Linked DNA regions of Oryctolagus cuniculus. The protein of the gene in region 3 interacts with the protein of the main gene of each other region in a pairwise test. Links are inferred from orthologs where the notes say so. Each region holds a gene or a part of one and is shown on either strand. Other genes may lie near its edges.

What was found.
Region 1: the proteins of EGFR (region 3) and PLCH1 interact in a protein complementation assay, tested with the Homo sapiens proteins (2 studies listed by IntAct). The link is inferred for Oryctolagus cuniculus from reciprocal best matches to the Homo sapiens genes EGFR and PLCH1.
Region 2: the proteins of EGFR (region 3) and MAPK9 interact in a protein complementation assay, tested with the Homo sapiens proteins (3 studies listed by BioGRID and IntAct, with this or other methods). The link is inferred for Oryctolagus cuniculus from reciprocal best matches to the Homo sapiens genes EGFR and MAPK9.
Region 4: the proteins of EGFR (region 3) and LCP2 interact in binary tests that used the Homo sapiens proteins (3 or more experiments, as listed by UniProt). The link is inferred for Oryctolagus cuniculus from reciprocal best matches to the Homo sapiens genes EGFR and LCP2.

Annotation. Positions count from the first base shown.
Region 1 is NC_091435.1:125,274,399-125,278,652, forward strand, and holds the start of PLCH1 (1-phosphatidylinositol 4,5-bisphosphate phosphodiesterase eta-1), read left to right. Parts: upstream 1-1,452; 5' UTR 1,453-1,951; coding exon 1,952-2,216; intron 2,217-2,243; exon of another isoform or gene 2,244-2,647; coding exon of another isoform or gene 2,648-2,690; intron 2,691-4,254. UniProt on the Homo sapiens protein: The production of the second messenger molecules diacylglycerol (DAG) and inositol 1,4,5-trisphosphate (IP3) is mediated by calcium-activated phosphatidylinositol-specific phospholipase C enzymes.
Region 2 is NC_091437.1:67,213,685-67,217,669, reverse strand, and holds the start of MAPK9 (mitogen-activated protein kinase 9), read right to left. Parts: upstream 2,803-3,985; 5' UTR 2,609-2,802; intron 1-2,608. UniProt on the Homo sapiens protein: Serine/threonine-protein kinase involved in various processes such as cell proliferation, differentiation, migration, transformation and programmed cell death.
Region 3 is NC_091447.1:57,876,124-57,879,634, forward strand, and holds part of EGFR (epidermal growth factor receptor), read left to right. Parts: intron 1-1,507; coding exon 1,508-1,654; intron 1,655-2,920; coding exon 2,921-3,018; intron 3,019-3,511. UniProt on the Homo sapiens protein: Receptor tyrosine kinase binding ligands of the EGF family and activating several signaling cascades to convert extracellular cues into appropriate cellular responses.
Region 4 is NC_091437.1:57,184,410-57,188,554, forward strand, and holds the start of LCP2 (lymphocyte cytosolic protein 2), read right to left. Parts: upstream 2,803-4,145; 5' UTR 2,590-2,802; coding exon 2,512-2,589; intron 1-2,511. UniProt on the Homo sapiens protein: Adapter protein primarily involved in signaling pathways within T-cells, as well as other immune cells such as platelets, mast cells, and natural killer (NK) cells.

The DNA of each region.
Region 1 (4,254 bases), on a different chromosome or scaffold from region 3:
TCCAAGGGCTCGGGCCCCTGCACTCACATTGGAGATGAGGAAGAAGCTCCCAATTCTGGCCCAGTCTGGCCCAGCCCTGGACATTTTGGCCGTTTGGGGAGTGAACCAGAGATTGGAAGATCTCTCTCTCTCTCTCTCTCTCTCTCTCTCTAACTCTGCCTTTCAAATAAATCTTTTTTTTTTTTTTTTTTTTTTGACAGGCAGAGTGGACAGTGAGAGAGAGAGAGAGAAAGGTCTTCCTTTTGCCGTTGGTTCACCCTCCAATGGCCGCCGCGGCCGGCGCACTGCGGCCGGCGCACCGCGCTGATCCGATGGCAGGAGCCAGGAGCCAGGTGCTTTTTCTGGTCTCCCATGGGGTGCAGGGCCCAAGCACCTGGGCCATCCTCCACTGCACTCCCTGGCCACAGCAGAGAGCTGGCCTGGAAGAGGGGCAACCGGGACAAAATCCGGCGCCCCAACCGGGACTAGAACCTGGTGTGCCGGCGCCGCTAGGCGGAGGATTAGCCTAGTGAGCCGCGGTGCCAGCTCAAATAAATCTTTAAAAAAAGAAATTTCCGGCTGGCGCCGAGGCTCAATAGGCTAATCCTCCACCTACCAGCGCTGGCATACCGGGTTCTAGTCCCGGTTGGGGCGCCGGATTCTGTCCCGGTTACTCCTCTTCCAGGCCAGCTCTCTGGTGTGGCCCAGGAAGGCAGTGGAGGATGGCCCAAGTGCTTGGGCCCTATACCCCATGGGAGACCAGGAGAAGCACCTGGCTCCTGCCATCGGATCAGCGCGGTGCGCCGGCCGAGGGCGCCAGCCGTGGCGGCCATTGGAAGCTGAACCAACAGCAAAAGGAAGACCTTTCTCTCTGTCTCTCTCTCTCTCACTATCCACTCTGCCTTTCAAAAAAAAAAAAAAAAAAAAAAAAAAGAAATTTCCTTTCAAAAAATGAAGACCCTTGCTTTTTTGGGGTGATGAACAGAATTTCAAGGCAATAATAGTAATGATAATATATAATATCATGGTTCTAAGTAGTTTATATTAAGTTCTTAAAATGGAATAATATTTTGAAGTAAGACTGTTGTTATGGCCATTATACAGATAACAAAACTGAAGAGCAGAGAGTTTAAGTAACTTGCTGAAGATGTCATAGCTAGTTGGAGGCAGAGTCAGGGTGTGAACCCCAGGCAGATAGACTCCTAAACTCTTCATTGCTGTGGTTTAGTTGTATGTGTGTATATGTCAGATTCAATGTGGCCAGAAAGATATTCTAATTATATAGACCCCCCCTACACCTTTGAACTGGAAATAGAAAATTTCATGGAAGTAGTTAAGAGGAAATACTGAGATTTACAACTTAGGGGAAGGGATATGCAAATTGGAAAGCACGGGAATGGGGTAGAGTAGAGGGGTGGGTTAGCAGTGCAGGCTGGGCAGCTCTGATAGGAATGGAGGAAAGACACTGACACTGGTGACTACAGAGTGGGAAATGTTGGGGGAGTTCCAGGGACCATGGGTGGGTGGTCAGCAAGAAGCCAGGGAGCAGGACATGGAAATAAGGGTCAATAATTCAGAAGAGAATTTTCTGGGAGTCACTGCTCAGGTGGAGAGACCTAGTTACAACACTTAAATGCAAGACTAATTAAGCAGGACCATGGTAAATTGCCCATGAATTATCTGTGTGTCTATATACCTATTTTTTCAATGAAGCGGATGAAACTCTCAATAACGTTTAGATATACTGTAGGAAAATTGTACTATAATCATGTGCTGCTTCATTCACTAAATCTTTCACATTTTTAAGACTCATTCATGCTATTTACCTTGCCCACGGGGAAGTTTTTTTTTTTTTTTTTAAATCTGAGAAATAGCCTTCGCTGCATCAAGTGTTTTAAGATTGTAACCTCATTGCTTCTAAGTTGGAAACCTTCCAGTCTTTTCTGTGTTTGTTGCTGTTTGTGTGAGGAATATGGATAAAAACCAAAACAAAACAAACCAACAAAAACAAGGAAAGGCTTCCCGAGAGAGTAAATATACGTGGCCCCTGACAGCTACAGAAGTAGCCTGTAGTGCAGAAGACAGTGTGCAGCTTGTTAACGCAGGGACGTTAGCTTCTGAGAGCATGTGTGTGTCTGTGTGTGCGCATCTGTGTGTCTCTCTGTGTGTGCCTGTTCGTTTCTGCATCCAGCTTGCGTCACGCCACAGTTATCAGTGTTTCTCAATGACTTCCGTAGGTGAGGAGGATTTCTTTGATGGTTAAAGACCTAAACTTCCGAGACATTAAATGTGCATGATGCCTGGAGGGCTTTCAGCGCTGCACTAAGCATGCATGTCTCATACCCAGAGTAGCCACAGCGCCTGCATTCCCACAATAGCGGCAGCCCTGAGCAGATGCTGCCAGAGTGCTTATCTGGCTGTGCTTTTCACTTTGGGACAAAGTTCTACAGTCATATCTCATGGATTGATTTTTCTCCACACTGTCAAGCCTGAATTGTGACGATCTCATCATGCCATAAAGGGCAGCATGAGCCCAGTTTTTGGGGCTGCTAAGGATTTCATTTTTGCCTTTCCCCCCTCTTTCTGGAGATGTGTATCAGAAAAAGGCTCTGCCTTTAGAGAGAAATTTTCCTGCTCTTGCCAATAATGTGTAACAATATTAAATTTAATGGCAGACCTTGAAGTATATAAAAACTTAAGTCCAGAAAAAGGTAAGATTCATACTACTAATTTTAAGGTAAGTGTGTTAGTCCTAGTAAAAGATGGTAAGCATCTCTTATTTTATTTCCTGTTTAGTTAAGTGGAAGACTTGTTTGAATTCTTGACAATGTATTTGGCATATTCTATTTAACATGAAAGGTAAAGACTTTTGATTAGGCAAAAGTGTTTTTTTCTTGTCTGTGTACTTTTATAGTGCTAGAATTTGCATGCTGACAAATTGAAAGTACATCATTATAATAAAGTGGTCAGTGAGGAAATCATTTGTGTTAGGTTGTAAGTCAAGGTTGCAGACATGCCTAGAAATTTCATTTGTCTGCCACTTGTAAACAGTGGATTTTAATGTAAACACTGTCAAGTTTGAGTAACGATGAATACAGCTGTATTTTAACTTTCTATGGTAATCTGGAGAGAATGATTCCCAATTTATACCAATTAAAGACAGTCATAGGTAGTACAAATAATTGGCTTTATAAAATGAATGGCAGAAGTATTCAGCACAGATAAAATGGAGGCAGAATCCATGTGTCATGTCCTTAAAGACATTCATCTCCAGTAGCATGGGAGAAATATTTCAAGGTATGAGTTAGATCAGGAATTTAAAATACATGGAGATTGTTCTTGAATTCCGAGAAGTGTTCCTGCCTGGTCAGACAGAATAAATGTCAAGAAATGCCTTCTAAACTTATCTTCAGACTGAATTTTGTCTGTCATTTCGGATTATTCATGTGCATCTACTCAAATATAACTTTAGCACCTCAGTGCTTGATCTGAGGGCCTGTCTGGAGATTGTTGTTAGTTTATGCTATCAACTCCAGTGTGCCATGGTCATGGCATCAGCATTGATGCTTGCTTTTTATTCAAAATGCCAGTTGTACCATGGTTGAGATATCCCAAGTATACATGAATTTTATAAGCCTGGGAAGAAGCTTTTATACAGAAATAGGATAGGATTTGGTTTACTTGAGATGTAGTTTGTCAGAAGGATCTGCATTTAGAGTTTTGTCCTTTAATGTATTTATAAACTGTTTTGTATGCAGAATGTAAAAGTAAATGTAATTACATAGTGTACTGTCAGGATTGTCTGGTATTACGTATCATGGGAGTAATGATGAAAGTGACTTCTCTAACTTTCACTTCATAATGTGGTCTTTAAGATAAAATTAAAGTTAAAGTAAAGCTATATCTGAAACATTATGGTAACTTGAATGAATTATTTAGTCACATAAGCTTTTAAAGCTGATAAGTATAAGGTGTATTATTTTTATAGTAGATGTTTTCACTCACAAATGGTTTTACTAGAGTTTATTAATTGAATATTTATTTCAGAGCTTACAAAGAAATATTAATATCACATATTTCATATTTTGTCTTCATAGAAATAGATTTTCTATTTAATGATTTATAGAGTGAGAAATTTCCTTTACTGATTTTTTTGATATTAAAATTATCTTAGTCACCAGCAAGACTATTCTTCAAATCTTTCTTCTGAACTCTAGATTAATTTTAAGAGGAACATCTTAAATTATACAAACTATGAGTGTATAAAATTAATAA
Region 2 (3,985 bases), on a different chromosome or scaffold from region 3:
AGCCAGGGTTTCTAACTGTTGAAGCTGGATACCGTTCTTTTTGTGTCTTTTCAGAGTCACTATCATAAACAGTTAAAAGACTAATGCTGAAACCTTGTTCATACAATCAAGTACAAATGATTAAGAATTAATTATTAGGTGGGAGCCAGCGCTGTGGTGCAGCAGGTTAACACCCTGGCCTGCAGTGCCAGCATCCCATATGGGTGTCGGTTCGAGACCCGGCTGTTCCAATTCCCATCCAGCTCTCTGCTGTGGCCTGGGAAAGCAGTGGCAGATGGCCCAAGTCCTCTCTCTCTGTCTCTACCTCTCTCTGTAACTCTTTCAAATAAATAAAAATAAATCTTTAAAAAAAAGAATTAACGATAAAAATATAAAAATGGAAACTTTCTTGCCAAGTGTGAAGTCCAGGTACATATTTAGACCAAAAATAGTTGCCTTGCAGCCAAATCAGCACTTCTTAAGAAAAATCCCTGACTTCTAGGTTACCTGAGACATCAGGGAATAACTGGTTACTAACAATCACTTTGCCTGATATTTTAGCCAGAAACCTGATTTTATTTTAAATAGAAACATTCAATTCTACTCTTTAACACTTATTTCAAAGTTATGCCCTTTCACTAAATTATTTTAAAGTCCCAGGATCCTGAAAGTTAAATCCTCAGGCAAATGAAAGCTTTCCACAGAAGTCTATGCCAAAATAGGATTTTTTTTAACCCCACTGGTTACTTCTGAAGAGAATAAAAGGTTAAATGGAGGAAAGCATTACACAGATTGAGTGTTGTTGTTTCAGAACGAATTAGAAGCCAGAGGAGCACAGGCAGGGCTGGGGGCCCCAGGGAAGCATCGTCTTGTGAGGGATTGTGCTGCAGAGCAGGGACTCTGGGCTTTTCTTCCTCTGTGAAAACAGGTGTCTTCGCTGCTCCTTCCAGGGCCCCAGGGACAATTCAGTAAGCACCTGAGCAGGCCGGGCTCCCACCCACAGTCCGTCCTGGAGGACCACAATCCCGCAACCAGGCTGAATGAGGTCTGTATTTGGCTAGGCTCACAACAACAACAACAACAACAAACAGCTACTGCCAATATTGAGAAATCAGGAGAGTGCAGGTGCAACTGTGGATTGAAGCTTCTTTTAGAAAATTGCTGGGCGAGGGGCTCCTCCTCCAGGGTCCCCACCACTACACGCTCCCACACCTGGCCAACGCCACACAGCGTTAGGTTCCTTCCTTGGCCCTGCCCTTTCACACTCTTTGCACCTCTCCTGGCCTGGCAAGCGTGGAGGCCCACCAGCACCACCTGTTGCTCCACCCTTCCGCAGGCATCATCCACTGTCCTGGAACCAACCCTGTGCGTCATGCCTTTTCCACGGGGCTCCCAGGCTCTCTGGGGGAAGGGACCCTGTCGCTCTCTCCTTTGTGTCCCTAGGGCCCAGCAAAAAGCATGACCTAGATAATGGAGAATTCAGTGGCTGTCTCCTGGATTTACTAGGAGGTCGTTAGAGCTAAACCATTATAAAGATGTAACATTTTATATCATAGCTCGTTACCATAGTTACCAAATAAAGAGGTCAAGGACGTTAAGATGTTCTACAAAATGAGAACAAGCTTCCGAGTTTCACAAGTCACTCAGAAGTCACTAAATGAACAGGTAAAGCAGAGACAACAGGTAGGCACGCTCCTTACATCATTCATTCATTCGCTGAACTGAGACTATCAAATACTTACTGTATGCTTTCTATAAGTACCAGGAGAAAGCAGACAAATCAGACAACTACCTGTTTACAGAAAGCTACAGCCTAGTGGGGGAAGACAGAAAAGGAGAGGCAAATAAATAGAACAGTTTCAACTCAGAGTGCTAGGAAGAAAATGAAACAAAATAACAAGACAGAATGATCCCTTGCAGAGGGTAGCCGAGGAAGGCCTCGCTGAAAATGAGACATCTGGACAGAGCAAGGAACAAAAAGGTCCTGGACGCGACGTAAACAGGAGAGGCAGCAGGTGCAAAGTCCCGGGGACACGGAGGTTAGCAAGTTCCTGGCAGGTGGGAGGATTAGCGGGCCCAGGGAGCAGTGCTCTGGGGAAGAGCTGTGGTGGGCAGGGCCTGCTCCGCGTAGCTGAGCACTGGGCGCGCAATGACAAGGCACAGGATGGGTGGGGAGGGGGCCCCCACCACACTCACGCCAGCAAGGGGCAGTATCCGGCCCTATAGTCCACCAGTGTGCACAGACTTGCGTCCAGGTGCTCCCACAGACAGCCCAGTCTTGAAGATCAGACATGGCCCCACTTTCCCGAAGGGGCAGCCAGCGCCTAATCCAAGGTCGCGGGGACCACCGAGCATCCGGGGCGAGAGGGCAGCTGCGCGGCCCGCCTGGAGGAGGGGGCCACAGACCCCCGCGGGCAGGTCTGCGGGGCCAGGTTCCGCGGTCCTCGCCGCTGGCAGCGGGCGGGAGGGGGCGACTGCGGCACGGGCGGGCAGGGGCTGCGGCCCGCCAGCAACCCCGCGGCTCCCGCCAGCCCCGGAGGCCCGGCCCCAGAGGCCCCGCGCCCACCCCGCTCCCCGCCGCGCCCGACCCCAGCACCCACGCCGGGCCTAGCCAGCCCTTCGGGCTCACCTCGCCTCCCTGCAGCCGCGCCGGGGTAGAGGGCGGGCGGGCGCACTGGCGGCGCTGCGCGCTGGCCGCTCCCGGCTAGGCTGGCCGCCCCGCCCCGCCCCGCTCCGCCCCGCCGCCGCCGCCGCAGTGGGTGTGAGGGGCGCGGGGCGCTTCGACCCTTCCGGTCGGCTCCCTTCCCCTCAGCCGCCGCCGCCGCCGCCGCCGCGGCGCCCGGCCTGACCGATCCGTGACTCCACCAATCAGTGCGCGGAGAGCCCGGCGGGTGCGGCCAATCGCGCTAGGGGGCGGGCCGCTGTCGGGCGACTCGGGCGGGGCCAGGCCAGGCCGGGTCTGCGTCCGAGGTCTGGTGCAGGGTCCGGAGGCGGCGTGGGGCAGTGCCGGCGTGTAGCGGCGTGTAGTGGGCTGGAGAGACGGGCGTGGCTGAGGTCGCCCGATGACCCCTCTCTCCGGGCAAAGAGGGTCCGCAGAGCTGCGGCCGAACGCCGAGCCGGGAGGAGGCGAGAGAGGATGGGCCGCAGGCGAGGCGCGGCGCCTCAGGACCGGGGCTACTCGTGGGTCCGAGCCCCGGGGCTGCAGGTGCAGGCGCCCAGCAGCGAGGCGACCTGGAAGGAGACAGGAGGAGGGAGGCGCGGCGCCTGGGACTCAGCTCGCTGCGGACGTGCCGCACGCACGCCCCACTGGACGGGTTTAGGGGTGCGGCCAAAGGTCAGGGTTCAGGCGCAGGGTGCGAGGAGATGACCGTCGTGCACCAGTCTTCCCGGCCGACAGGAGCAGGAGGGAGTGTGCTGGCTGACAGGGCTCAGGGGGAGCAGAAGGGCCCCCTAGGGACCGGACAAGTACAGCTGGGATGAGGGGCGGAGGCGGGGCTCCCCGAGGGAAAAGCTCCGAGGCCAGTCGTGGGCTAGGGGCGTCGGATTTCGGGCACCGATAGAGTTGGGGACCGTGATTGATAAGTGGTGAGTAAGGAGCTGGGGCAGCAGTCCCGGGACGCCGAGGTCCACAGAGCAGGGGGAGTAGCAGGACCCTGCAGGTCTGGGGTGGAGTGTTGCAGAATCTGGGGAGAGAAGCGAGCCTGTGACCCAGGTTCTGAAGGGCCGGGCTCGTGCAGGCACCACGGCCTCAGAGGAGGGGTGGGGCAGAGAACGGGATCTAGCCGTGGTGTCCTCCCATGGCCGCCAGGGGGAGTTTTCTAAAATTGAGTATCACTAATCCCGGCTCCTGAACGTGGTCTGCATTGAAATGGACCCATCTGGTGGGCTCCTGCCACCTGCCTCAGCTAGCTGCTCAGGAGAAAACAGGGAACCTAAAATTGCCGTTACTGAAAAAGATGAGAAACTAGTAAAAGCCGGGCTATCAGAGATGAGGTCCCAACAAGGA
Region 3 (3,511 bases):
TGCCTCACTGGAGACATTGGTGACTTCCTCCAGCAGGGAACAGGGTCACAGGAGTGGGAAAGGAGGGGTGTGTGCTCCAGTGTAGGAAACCCATCTGCCTGGAAACGAAGCCAAACTTGAGAGAACCATGGCGGAACAGTCTTCCAGTATAAAAATGAGGCTTTCTGAAGTGCTACCTCCATGCACGTGTGTCACTGCCTCTGGGACCTGGTGTGTTCTCGTAAGGAGTTGGAGAACTAACAGCCTTTCTAGTCCCTGCAGACCCCACTAGCTACCCCACCCTACTCTTACTACTTTTCTGAAACCTGAAGAACACTCCTTGACCAGAGTAAACTGTGCTAGGTGAGAAACCAAGTAAGAATCAGTCCAGTCTGGAAATGAGAGTTCTTCCACAAGACTGGGTTGACTGTGTTCCTGCTCCTGGGCCACTGCTTCCTCCTCATTCCAGCCCTGTTCTCTGGATTAATTCAGGCGGTTCTGTTGAGGAAAGGCTGTGGAAAAATGGATCTGGAGGCCAGGTCTGAGGAGAGTGGGCCCTTGGGCTGCTTGGAGAACAGGATCTTGTGTCTCTCCCTCCTGGGGAAGTTGGGATCCAGGGCTCATTTGCACTGAACTCATCTTGGGGCAGGACACAGGTGCTGGGAGGAGGGGATAGCCATGGGGATTAAGGAAGCACTGCTCACTGGCCTCTGCACATTTCTAGAGCAGAGAATCTCATCACCTGAGCTCTACGATGAGAGTACTGTGTGAACTCACAGTCATCTGAAAACCACCAACTCTAAAATCACTGCTGCTTTGGTTTGGTGTTAATCATGATATGTGGTTAAGATTTTTGTGTGCATCAACAGGAACGCAGGTCTCTGTGTTTGCTTTTCTATTACCTAAGATCACAGAATCCCCAGCTTCCTGCCACTGAAAATGCAAGTTCCCTAGGGCAGAGACGGCATGTTAGGAAAGCCAGTGTCACGGTGTGGTTACCAGCTTACGCTGACCATCTGTCAGTGACTTGCTGCCAGCCACTGCACTACGTGTGTCACTTCTGTCCTGTGCTTCGACCCTCACCCACACTCTCTGAGAAAGACACTGTTGTTGCCCCACTCGACAAAGGTAACGGAGGCTCCCAGAGCCACAGAGATATTTGTGTGCTAGCATCGAGAAGCAGCAATCAACTTGGTTACTAAAGATGAAGCTCTGCAATTGGCACTAACTCCTGTGGTGCAGCTCAGGATGAGGTCTCTGATGGTCACTGACCCCTGTGGTGCAGCTCTAGGTGAGGCTGTGACCATCACTGACCCCTGTGGTGCAGCTCTAGGTGAGGCTGTGACCATCACTGACCCCTGTGGTGTGGCTGTAGATGAGGCTGTGACCATCACTGACCCCTGTGGTACGGCTCTAGGTGAGGTCACTGATGGTCACTGACCCCTGTAGTGTGGCTCGAGATGAGGGTCTCTGATGGTCACTGACCTCTAATGTGTTTGCTTTTCTGCTTGCTTCCTTTGCCCCGCAGGAGTCACCGTTTGGGAGTTGATGACCTTTGGGTCCAAGCCTTACGACGGAATCCCTGCCAGTGAGATCGCGTCTGTGCTGGAGAAAGGAGAACGACTTCCACAGCCCCCCATCTGCACTATTGACGTCTACATGATCATGGTCAAGTGTGAGTGACTGGAGAGGCCATCCTTGCTCGCCTCATTGCACTTTATCATGCCTGCAAAGGCATTGCTATCCTTGTGCAAACAGTTGAGGCCTCTGTTCCTTAGGGGAAACGTTGCCACATTCTCAAGGCAGGACACCTTCCAGAAACTTCCATAAATGCCTCTGCATGTGTTCCTGAAAGAGCACTTGCTTGACTCATTGAGCAGTGTGACCTGACATTTGCAAACCAAAAAGTAAATCAAAATCTTCCGTAAACTCTTAGGGTAAAATGGTCTATTTTCTGAGTTGCTCAATGAAGTACTAAGCTGTCACATTTTTTGAAGACTGTTACCGGAGAGACAGAATGTTTTTAAAAGCCTAACAATGAGTAACCACAAGAAGCGGCAAGGATCAGCATTGCTGCTGTGACTTACAACTTTGAGTAGATTTATATGAGGCCTTCAACAGTGTGGCGTTTGAATGTTTTAAGCTAGTAGAGAATGTGATCTCTTAATACTTGTTCCACCAGAACCACATGTGCAGTAGGCTCTGGAGCCAACACCACCCAGACAGGAAGCCTTTGACAAGGAAGGCATGAGGGGATTCTGACACAGCTGGTGTCAGTGTCAACACCCCTCTGAACCTCAGACCGCAGGGCTCATCCATTTTAACTTGGTTTGGGTTGCGGAAGCTGGGAAACAGAGAGGTCACCTGATTTGTCTGAGGTCACATAGCAGTCTGGCCTAAAATAGCTTGACATCTGCTTATGGAAAATAAACATGAACCCTCGGAGTCAGTGAGTGCCACTCTGGGGCTGTTTCTCCAACTTAGTTACTCTGGACTGGGATCCTTGAGCCACCAAATGCAGCAGCCTGTCTGTCAAGAGCACCCCAGGTGAGGGGGCTCTCACACAGCTCCTTCCAGTCTGAGTCAGTGCTGACTGAGGGATCTGGGGGAAGCATTGGGTGGGGAGGGCACAACCTGCGGCCCTGAAGGCCTTCCCTTTTCTCTAAGCTGAATCTGGCTTCCAGCTTGAGAGAGTGCTGTGGCTGAATGTCAAGTGGGGGCTTTGGCAAATGCTAGGTACCCCAGGTCAGAGCTGCTCACAGACAGGACTGCAAGTCACAGGGGCACTAGACGCCAACCCTAGGAGGAATAGATAGAGAAAAGTTTAGAAGATCTGATTCTGATTCAGATTGAGAATGCTGTCCTGCCATGCCAGGAGTGAGGAGTCCAGCACAGAGCCCAGCTTTGCTCACCACTGTCCTTTCTCCGTTTCCTTCCTCAGGCTGGATGATAGATGCTGACAGTCGCCCAAAGTTCCGGGAGTTGATTGTGGAATTTTCCAAAATGGCCCGAGACCCTCAGCGTTACCTTGTCATTCAGGTACCAGACCACAGCAGTGCCTGTTGTACTGAGCATCAGAGTCCCTGTGTCCCCACACTCCCATTGTTGGCTCCTGGTGCAGTGGAGCAGCCTCAGCTGAGGTACACTGAACATGAAGCCCAAGTTTTGGTGGCCAGCAAACCTCTCTTTACCTCCTTGACTGGCCTCTTTCCCCTAGGTCCATCAGGCAACCTCTCCACCAATCCCCTTCCCTAGTAGGGGAATAGCAAAGCCAGATCGTGGGGCTGTCTCAAGGATTTGGTGAAATCATTTTTGTATAGTATTCTTCAGGCCATGTCACAGCACAACGCTCCCGTAAACGACACCCCTCCCCTTCTGAGCCGCCTTCTCTGTGTGCATCTCAGAGACTTTTTGATGCTTGGTTTCAAAGCATCCATGTGCAGTGGGGTGAGCATCTTTCTTCAGAGAACAAGAGGGGTTACTATGACTAAAGTGGCAAACAGAGGCACCTGCTGACTGGTAGACCTAATCC
Region 4 (4,145 bases), on a different chromosome or scaffold from region 3:
GAGCCCTGCGATCCACATACCAATGAGTGGCCAGTTAACACAGCAGGAAACTGGGAGCAATAAACATTTTGATACCTCTGTCTGCTGAATGCCTCACATACACTATTTCCTTTACTCCTCTCAACCATTCCACTGGGTTTGTTACCCTTCATGTCTGTTTAATTGCCTGCTTTGGTAGAACTTGTGCCTACCAATTGCCTTCCAATCATCTACCAATCAACCCGTGAAATGATACATTTTATTTCCAAGATCCATCCCCAGATGACCCTGTGTTGAGCAATGTTTTCTCTCTTGAGGACTGACTTGCTCAGAGAGGCGAAGTAGCTAAGGGAAGGCCACCAAACTAGCAGGTGGCAGAGCCAGGGTTCCAACAAGGTGTGTCTGACTCCAGAGTTGGGCAGCGTGGTATCACTGAGGGAAGCCTGACCCTGACACGTGGGTAGAAGCTGCACCCACCAAACGCCTACCCACTGATGCGTTAAATGGGTATGCTTGATCACTAAGATCCATCCCCAAATGAACTTGCAGTCAGTGCGCTCCTGGTTCTGTCTCTTGGGGACTGAGATGGCCTGGGACTTCCAGGGTCACAGATTCCCCTCTGCCTCCTTGTTCCTACCTGGGTCCTTTTGTGCCGGGAGGGGAACCTGGCCCAGTGCTATGCAGTTTTTGCAAGGTCTTAGAACTCCAAGAAGAGAATCATCTCTTCCCCGAACTCAGACAGAGAGCTGTGTCCTGCCCTCCAGTCTGTCCTATCGCCCTGCGCTGACAGGAACTTTGTCTACAGACTCTCTGTCGGTCAGCTGAGTTGTGAAATTTTTCTGACCACATTTGAAATAGCCCCTCAGCCTCTCCTGGGCCTTTCCCTCTGTAACTCTCAACTCCTTTCTCCCTTCTTTATTGCAATAACGTACCACATACTTCCATCTGGGCAAATTTTACCTTTGATCGCCCTATCTCAGAGAAGTATTAGAAACACTCTTCAAAGGCCAGTCGGGCCAGTTGTCCAATGATCTTTGCATCTACAAACCCAAAACCTAGTTTTGTTATGACTTTATACATGTGTGGGGTGGAGGCAGAGGGGACAACAGAAGTGAAATGCACAAGAAACAGAAAACGACAGGCTCTGTGGGGCTGTGCCCCTACCATGCCACACCTGGTTCAAGGTTTTTGTTTTTAGGCTGGGGAAGAACCATCATCACTGCAAATACCTTGGTACTATGAGACCTCAGGTTCAGCTATGTGTCCCAGAGAGCCTATTCCACCCCCGCGGGGCTCAGTTTCCCCAGGAAAAACAGTTAAGTGAGATGACATGTAAAGTCTTAGTGCTACAAGCTCTTCTTTATGCTGGTCTGCAGTATCAACTAAATGTGGTGCCAGCCTGCAGGGAAGAGGATGTTAGAAGAGCAAATGTCCCTTCGGCTGGTGCTGTGGTACAGTGGGTTAACGCCCTGGCCTGAAGCGCCGGCATCCCATATGGGCTGCTGCACTTCCGATCCAGCTTTCTGCTATGGCCTGGGACAGCAGTAGAAGATGGCCCAAGTCCTTGGGCCCCTGCACCCACATGGGAGACCTGGAGGAAGTTCCTGGCTTCTGGCTTTGGATTGGCATAGCTCCGGCCGTTGCAGCCAACTGGGGAGTGAACTAGCAGATGGAAGACCTCTTTCGCTCTTTCTCTCCCTCTCTCTCTGCCTCTCCTTTCTCTGTGTAACTCTGACTTTCAAACAAATAAATAAATCTTAAAAAAGAGAGCAAATGTCCCCTGCAAGGCATCCTATGCTAGAGACAGGAACAGAGGATCCATACTTGCTCGGGCAGGCTTGTGTCCTGTCATCCCCACCAGCAGGTGGACAAGCAGACGATCTTTGAGCATCTCTTCCAAGTCTGGAAGGTAGGACAGCAACCCTGGTCCCGGCTCCACTGCAGTGAGACTCTGATCTATGTAAGAACTTGAGGACCCAGCTTTCTGGGCCCTGAGCAGTGAGTGGCCAAACGCCATGTCTAGCGTTGTTCACCCTCTACCCCTGCCTCCTTCCCTGCCTGTTGTTCTGCACCCAGAGCACCAGGTCTCCCCTTTCTAGAATGTAGTTCTCTTCATCTCAGAGCACAGACTGAAACTGCACAGAAGTGACTCCAATCCTTCTGTCACTACCACCTGTAGTCCCTGTGGCTTTGGGCTGTTTAGCTTCCTTGAGCCTACCTTGAAGCTGAGCCACAGGGATGACAATATTGACCTCAGAAGATTGTCAAGAGGGATCAATGGCACAGTGCTGCAGTGTACCGAGTTCAGGCCCTGGCACATGGTAGGCACCTACTCATTCAAGAGCTCCTGCTCCCACCCTCCTCTCCAGAACTCACTGCAAGGAGCTCTCAGTGGTCTCCCATGGCGCTCACTCTCCCAACAAGGCTGCCGAGAGGCCAGTCACTCCACAGCTGTCTTTTACACCTCTTGTCTTCTGCCCAGCCCATGGAGGGCACTCCCAGCCCGACCACCAACAAAAGAGTGGGTCTCACCTTCTTAAAGTAGTCAGCAAGGCTGTCAGGGTCCCAGGCGAGGACTTCGGAGCGAAAGGGCACGTTCCTCAGTGCCATGGCCGCTGTCTTAGGAGGGGGCTCACAGGTTGAGCGTGGATGCTGCACCCATGGACAGAGAACCCCAAATCCAGATCTTGGAGGCGTCCTTGGCTCTCCCAACTCCCAGCTGCCCCTGGATCGGCCTTGTTGGAGCAGACGTCTTTTCTGCTGTAGTCGGATCCCAGAAAGCAGCAGCTTCCTCTGCGAACAAATATGGTCTCTTCTCAGAAAACGACTTGGCTAGTTTCCTTTACCACTTCCTCTGCTGGCTTCTAAATAAGTAAACAAGGAAGCCCAGCTCTGAGGGCTTGAGATGCAGACAGAGTGACAGGGCAGGTCATTCTCCACCTCGCCCGTGGTCCTGGGCACCCCTGCCCAGCAGGAGGGGCCATGAAGGGCGCTTAAACTCCGAAGCCAGCCCAAGCATTTTGCTGTTAAAACTCCTGTCCCTTCAGCCCCACCCCATGGGTCTACACCACGTTCTTGCTCTGCTGGGGCTTTGCAGATGAATATCTATTCATCTGACAATTGACCTAAAATATAGACAACTTCCAGCAACAGGGAGCTGTGGTGTGGGGGGACGCATGCATGATGCCCCTTCTTCCCTCTTCTCTCAGCCCTAGTCTCTAGCAGTCTCTGCCTGCTACCATTGAAATGAGAGGGTGAGTCTGTAGTGCGTCAGGCATCCAAGGCTGAGCAAGGCGCTACCCTGGGCCAACCCGGGTTCCCTTCTGATGGGAGCTTCTCTGTGCTGTGCAACCTTAGGCAAGGACTTAAAATCTGGGGAGCTCAGTTTCCCTATATGTAAAATAGGAAAGCAGAGGAATTGCCTTATACACACATAACAAATAGATGCATTTAACTTGAGAACCTTCAAATGAAAAAATCAGAAAGCTAGAAGTGACAATTGCTACAGCTGGTGCCTTGGATTCCACTGTGTGTTTACAGCTCATGTTTTATTCACTGTTGATGACATCATGTGTTTCAATCAAAAAGCACATTCCCTGGAGACAGGAGTAGGAATCTTCTAATTTCTTCACCAGTCTCAGACTGTGCATTTCTATAGACGGAGCAACTTGTTGTCAGACAGCCAAGCCAGGGTCTAAAAGGCAATGCATTTGTGCAATGCAGCAGTGGCCTCTGAACAAAATAGAGCTACTTCACTCGGTTCTACACACTCACTCTCTCTCTCACACACACACACATAGCCACCAGTGCTGGTGCTTTGGGAAAGAATCAAGCTTTGTTGCCTTACTGAGCAATGCTATGACAGTCCCTGCATGGTGCCTTCCTGAAGGTTTTTCAAGGGTAGCTTTGGCCACACACACTCTACATCTTATACACAATGTAAGGAGCCCACTGTCATGTCATGCTCCTGCCTCCCTAGCCGGTTGCGAGCTTAAGTGAGGCACACATTTAGTCCCAGGCCCGGCACCTGGACAATGGTGCATGGGCTGGTGATAGCCTCACCTCAGTGGGTGCTGGGGACTTCAATCCAGGTGGTCTAGGCCAAGCGCTCCTTCCCAGGTCCTGTGCCAAAGAGTAACTGGGCATGCTCTGCCCTGGGGAGAGGA